Linked DNA regions of Macaca mulatta. The protein of the gene in region 1 purifies or fractionates together with the protein of each later gene. This does not show direct contact. Links are inferred from orthologs where the notes say so. Each region holds a gene or a part of one and is shown on either strand. Other genes may lie near its edges.

What was found. Proteins that work in one complex are often made in the same cells at the same time.
Region 2: the proteins of MRM2 (region 1) and KBTBD7 purify together in Homo sapiens (co-immunoprecipitation; 3 studies listed by BioGRID and IntAct, counting the BioPlex papers as one, with this or other methods). This does not show direct contact. The link is inferred for Macaca mulatta from reciprocal best matches to the Homo sapiens genes MRM2 and KBTBD7.

Annotation. Positions count from the first base shown.
Region 1 is NC_133408.1:36,203,547-36,206,100, forward strand, and holds the end of MRM2 (rRNA methyltransferase 2, mitochondrial), read right to left. Parts: intron 1,003-2,554; coding exon 560-1,002; 3' UTR 501-559; downstream 1-500. UniProt on the Homo sapiens protein: S-adenosyl-L-methionine-dependent 2'-O-ribose methyltransferase that catalyzes the formation of 2'-O-methyluridine at position 1369 (Um1369) in the 16S mitochondrial large subunit ribosomal RNA (mtLSU rRNA), a universally conserved modification in the peptidyl transferase domain of the mtLSU rRNA.
Region 2 is NC_133422.1:20,614,150-20,618,248, forward strand, and holds the start of KBTBD7 (kelch repeat and BTB domain-containing protein 7), read right to left. Parts: upstream 2,801-4,099; 5' UTR 2,492-2,800; coding exon 434-2,491; 3' UTR 1-433. UniProt on the Homo sapiens protein: As part of the CUL3(KBTBD6/7) E3 ubiquitin ligase complex functions as a substrate adapter for the RAC1 guanine exchange factor (GEF) TIAM1, mediating its 'Lys-48' ubiquitination and proteasomal degradation.

The DNA.
Region 1 (2,554 bases):
TCACCTCTTTCTCTTGATAACTTTCTCTTCACAAATCAATATAGAGGACTTTTTCATTTTCCATGGCCCCTGAACTTAGTTTTGTCATCTCTTTTTGGTTAAAAAGAGAGAGAGAAAGAAAGAGACTCCCAGCCGGGCGCGCTGGCTCACGCCTGTAATCCCAGCACTTTGGGAGGCCGAGATGGGCGGATCACGAGGTCAGGAGATCAAGACCATCCTGACTAACACGGTGAAACCCCAAATACTAAAAATACAAAAATTAGCCGGGCGCGGTGGCAGGCGCCTGTAGTCCCAGCCACACGGGAGGCTGAGGCAGGAGAATGGCGTGAACCTGGGAGGCGGAGCTTGCAGTGAGTGGAGATCGCGCCACTGCACTCCAGCCTGGGAGACAGAGCGAGACTCCGTCTCAAAAAAAAAAAAAAGAAAGAGACTCCCCACTTGTCCTGTTCCATCTCCAAAATCAGCTCAGATCTCCCAGGAACTCTTCCGGAAGGAGCTCAGGCTACGTTTCGAGCTTAAAAGAAGCTAATGACCATTATGAAAATGGCACAAGAAATCCTCACTGCTTCACAGCGCCCTTCCTTCCCTGGTACTGTGTGGCCAAGAAGTACACTTCTGATGACTCTTTTCTGCTGGCTTCAGGTTTGATGATCCTTACATTCTGGAATTCCTCTGTCAGTCTCCTCTGTAACCGATGGCTTTGACTTCCAGCCCAGGTTTTACAAAGGAATGTTCCCCGAGGTTGCAGGATGTCTGGGGTCATGCTGAGAAGGGTCAGGCACAGGCTGATGAGCCTGTCATGATCGAGGTCCCGGAACCCTGTGGCATTGGGCGCCATGTCGCTCAGAATCACATCTGCTCTCCCACCAGGAAGCACCTCGAGGATTCTCTGTGAGGTTCTCGGGTCAGTCACATCAGCAGGGCACAGAAAAGTTGCTCCTTCCAGGGGGAATATGTGAAGAAGATCTACCCCAAGCACGAAGCCAACAGGAGAGCTGGGATCTATGGAAGAAATGGTGAATGTGTTATTTATTTACACCCTGAATGTTTTCACAAAAATATAGTACATGCAACAAAATGATGAAATAAAAGTAAAATGTCAAGACCAATGCAAAGAGCTAATGTGCAAATAGGTAAACACAGGCCTTTTCTATCTATACATCCTATAAAGACACGTGGTGGGGGAGGTCGTGGGCCTTAACATCTGAGAAGCTGAGGCCCATACAGGAAGTAACTGTCCTACAGTCATCCTCAGCCATGGGCAGACCTGTGCCAAGCGCCAGGACTTCTGATTCCAAATCTGGTATCATTTCACTACCCAAGGCTCACTCTCTGTGAAAGGGTTCTTATCTCTGAGTGCTCTTTTGATAAACTAAAATAGAAAATAGGCCGGTCGCAGTGGCTCACAACTATAATCCCAGCACTCTGGGAGGCTGACACAGATGGATCACCTGAGGTCAGGAGTTCGAGACCAGCCTGGCCAACATGGGGAAATGCTGTCTCCACTAAAACTACAAAACTCAGGCAGGTGTGGTGGCACATGCCTGTAATCCCAGCTAGTCGGGAGGCTGAGACAGGAGAATCTCTTGAACCCAGGAAGCGGAGGTTGCAGTGAGCCAAGATCACGTTCACGCTCTCTCCTTCTGTCACCTTCTCCTACAAGGCATGCTCTTGCTTCATCTCAAGAGCACTACACTCCAGCCTCAGCGACAGAGCGAGACTCCATCTCAAAAAAAAAAAGAAAAAGAAAAAGAAAATAATATACTAGTGCATAAAGTGCCTCTGGATTAAATCAATAAATCCATTCTCCTTCTCCACCTTAATCCAATTGCTTCCAATGTAGAAACTACTGGAAATAAGTCAAGAGATGAGGAAAATGAACACATACAAAATAATGTACAAAAACTGATACCAGCTAGGTGCGGTGGCTCACACCTAAAATCTCAGCACTTTGGGAGGCTGAGAAGAACTGCTAGAGCCCAGGAGTTCTAGTCCAGCCTGGGCAACATAGCAAGATCCTATCTCTACAAAAAAATATAAAAATTAGCTGTAGTCTCAGCTACTCAGGACACCCAGCTAAAATGAGGCATGAGGCTGGGCGCAGTGGCTCAAGCCTGTAATCCCAGCACTTTGGGAGGCCGAGGCGGGCGGATCACAAGGTCAGGAGATCAAGACCATCCTGGCTAACACGATGAAACCCCATCTCTACTAAAAAATACAAAAAACTAGCCGGGCGAGGTGGCGGGCGCCTGTAGTCCCAGCTCAGAAGAGGCTGAGGCAGCAGAATGGCGTGAACCCGGGAGGCGGAGCTTGCAGTGAGCTGAGATCTAGCCACTGCACTCCAGCCTGGGCGACAGAGCGAGACTCCGTCTCAAAAAAAAAAAAAAAAAAAAATGAGGCGTGAGGCGTCCCATTTTCCTGGGCTGAAGATTGAGGGGTTTTACCTTTGAAAAATGAGGTAATCTTCAAAATACCTGGACTTCCAATGTTTAAACTAGGAATGAAACATGGTCTCTTCCTCGCCCCCTACCGTTGGAACAGCCTTTCTGTTAAG
Region 2 (4,099 bases), on another chromosome or scaffold:
ATCCTTCAAAACTCCACCAACAATTCCTAGTCCAGTTTTCTATTGTACAGATTAAAAAGTTAAATTCCTTGTGGCACTAACCAAAACTTAAAAATTAACAGAAGACTGAATTAATTAAAAAAAAAAAAGCATACTAACTAATCAAAACAATCCACTGTGCAATGAATATTTGAACAATGAAAAAAACCTACCAAGCATCCCAGTCAATTACATAGTTCTTGCTTCCATATTTTAATTTTGGACTTTCAGGAAGGTATATTATTAAACAGGTCGATTTTGTGGACTGTTTAAACCTTGTAGTATTTCAAAATATTACCCTTTCTAAACCAAATCTGTGGTCCTGGTCAACTTTTTTTTTTTCAAGAAAAAGAAAGGATATGTGTTTAAAATACATTCCGTAGCAGTAGAAACATCTTAGTGTCTCAAAATCTATTTACAAAGAACCCTGCTGATCCTGTGCATTTCGCTGAGGTGCTACTTGCACCCAGACTTCATCATCTGAAAAAGAACTTGAACTTCCTGACTCAGAGTCCAGCTCACTGAATCCATCTAAGTCCCATTCAGTACTAGACTCACTCCGTGCATCATCTTCCTCAGTAATAAAACTCTGACCAGGTTCAAGGCAGGAAGGATAAACACGGGCACAAAGGCAAATAAAGCCAGAGTCAAACTGCAAAAGGCCTAACATAGTACCTATATTAATCCACTGATCTTCCCTAGTATCATACTCATACACTGTTACTCGGTTCTTTTTCCATTGTGGGGTTGTAGAAGTGATGAGAAGCAACTTTCGGTCATGATTGACAATCTGGTAGTTGTGGGTCTCTGAATCCAAAGGAATATTACTAATCCGCCTCCATTCTCCCCTAGCTGGGTTGTAGACCTTCATGACTGGGATGTCACAGATACAATAGATTTCATCATTGAAAACACATGCTTCCTGAAAGTCACTGCGTTTAAGAGAAGCACAGTTCAGCCACATATTGTGGCTAGGATCATAGCAGAGCATGCGCTTACTGTTGACAGCATAAAGATAGTTCTGAACCACTATGAGTTCAAAGGAATAGAAGGAATGAGGGACAGGAGCCACCAATGCCCACTGGTTTCTCTGAACACTGTAGCATTCCACTTCCTTCAACTTAACTCCAGTAATAGGGTCTCGCCCCCCCAAAATGTAGATGTAGCCATTGAGATATGCCACATCCATGCCCTCACGACACAGCAAGCGATCTGCAAGTTGCTGCCAACTATTCTGAGCTGGTTTATACACCCAGAGGTCTTTCCTTGGCTGGGCAGCTAGATAGATGTCATGGTCTGGGGAGACACAGACAGCTGAGGAGGTAACAGTCTTAGTGTGAGCAAAGCTGGTCAAAGGTGATGGCATTGTGTAAATGTCCCCTGAGTAAGGGTCATAGCAGAGAAAGGGATCTCTGGGGTGTCCAAAGAAGATCACCATCTCCTTGGCACACATACCCAGTCTCTGGGGTGGATTTTCTGCTGCAGATACAAGAGAGTTGCTGCTGCTACTGCTGCTGCTGCTGCTGTTTGGCACTGGCACCAGAGACTTGTACAACAGGTCACCATAGCGCATCTGCAGGGCCCCTTCAATAACGTCCAGGCAGTACTTCTTCACAATGGGCTTGGTCAGCAGCCCTTCTAAGTAGTCCTGATCTTCTTCAGTGAAGTGCATCCAGCGCACGCACTTGAAGACTTCCGCAGCACTGGGACCCCGCTCCTTGGGAGCAGCCTCCAGCCACTGCACAGCTACATGGCATACAGTCCGCTCACTCTCTATGTCCAGACTATCCAAGCGCAGGACAGCCAGCAGCTGGGCCAGGGTCAGATCTGCTAGAGTCTCTTCCCGAATTGAACCCATTCGGCTGAGCTGCTTGAAGTTCTGAGCTATATAGGACTGGGCCTGAGATCGAAGCTTGTGATGGTCGAAGGCGTCTGCAAACTTGAGGATGGCGGTGCAGTTGGTCAGGTCAAGACGTCGGGCTAAGAAGGAGGCACAGGCTTCCCGCACATACTCCAGTTGCAGCATGTCGGAGGCTGCGTACAGGCGCTGCACATTGGCCTCGCTGAGAGACACACGACCCGTGTAGCAGTAGTCGACCAACACCTCGAAGGACTCGGCGTCCACATCGTGCATGGTCACGCTGGCCTGCTGGCTCTCGTACATGCCACCTGTGAACATGCTCTTGAAGTAGGGACACGCAGCTGCTAGCACGTTGCGATTGCAGGAAAAGAGGCGACCCGTGCCAGGCCCGCTGCCAGGCGTCACCACCTCGATGGTCACATCACACAGCAGCCGCGCGTCGTAGAAAGACTTGAGCTGTGCCAGCAGGGCTGCAGAATGGGCCGTGTCCTTTAATTCCTCTGGACCCGTGAAAAAGGCCGAAACCGAGGGCTTGGAAATCCTCTTGGGCCGCCTCCCACCGCGGGGGCTGGCGAGGCGGCGAGAGCGCGGGGCGTCTTCCCGGGACTGCATGGTGGAGATGGCGACGGGCGCTGATAGCGAGAAAGGCTGCCGGACCCGGCTCTGGCTCCTCCTCAACCTTCCCTCGCAGACGCTAAGACAAGCCGCGTCCTGGAACAGACTGCGGCACGGGCCGCACTTCTGAATTCAGCCCTAGCCCGCGGTGAGGCCTCCCTTTATTGCGTAGACAGTGGCTGACTCACCCTCTCTCACTCCCGCGCCCTTTCTCCGCCTCCGCTCGCCCTCACAGGACCCGCTGGCTTGGAGCCGCGGAAGGCCCCACTGCCGCGCTGGCGATCCCGCTAGGCGCCCAGGAGAACTACCGCTTCCAGGTTGCCTTTCGCGCCCCGAGGCCTGCTGGGGCTCTCGGACGGCCGGGCGGGGACAGAGGGAAAGAAACCGCTTTGCATGTTGGGAGTAGTAGTTTGTGTAATATCGCGAGCTTTCCTTTCGCTGACTGCCCTAACAGTAGAAATTAATTCTGGATATGATGGTGAAGTGACGATGTCTCACTATTGTTGTCCAGGCTGGTCTTGAACTCCTGAGGGCTCAAATTATCCTCCTGCCTCTGCCTCTCAAAGTGCTGGGATTACAGGCGTGAGCCACCGGGCCCTGCCAGTATTTCATAGGGTTTTGTGTGATTGAATGATACGTTACATAGGATACTTAGATACATATATTTTTTTGGTTAGAAGAACAATAAAGCGTTACCCCGTGCCTAGAATGTAGCCAATAATTGTTAGATTCTCTTTTATAATTTATGATAAATGAGGCACCCACTAATTTGAAACCAAAAAATTTTTAAAATTTTAAAAATTATTTTAAACCGCAAAATTTTACAAAGAACTTAGTTTTTAATTTTTATTCTTTTGAAAGATTTTGAAGGGCATTAACTATTTTCAATGTTAAATGGTACGTATTGGCCTTGTTTAATAAGGATGTCTTAGACGACTAGGTTGAGGTCCTAAAGAACGGTGTTAATAGATGGCCTCAAATATGCAAATCGGGCATATAAAAATAGATTATTTGCTACTCTCACTAACATTTCATCTCTGGGGAGCAGGAATATTTTCATTAAGCTCCAAATATGAGTGTTTTCAAGTCGTCTAATACAGCCTCTTTCACTGCCATTCCACATATCAATTAACAGATTCTGTAATTGCCTTTATTAAGGAGTTTTAGGGAGTATTTAACTCAAAATATTTCAAGAAACAGACTTTGTTCTGTACAAAAGCACGTGATTCTCAGAATTCAGCATTAGTACATGCCCTGACATTCCTTGAATTAACATACAGTATAGCCTATGCTTTACAAAAGTCTTTTATATTTGCATTGATCAACAGTTAAATCATCAAAATCAAGTATTAGAGATTTGAGGCAGGAAAATAGGGTCTGGAGGCAGGGAACATAAGGCCGATTCACACTTTAGCTATAACAAGAAATATCCTCTCCATAGGGTGTATGCCGAGTAAATGAGTTTGTAACTTTAATTCATTCTCTTCGTTTACATAGGGTATACACCAAGTAACCAGTGAATCCTCTAGAGGGTATTTAAACCTCCAGGAATTCTGTAACAGGGCCCTTGAGCCCTGTGCTGGGCCTGCGCCCACACTGGAGTGT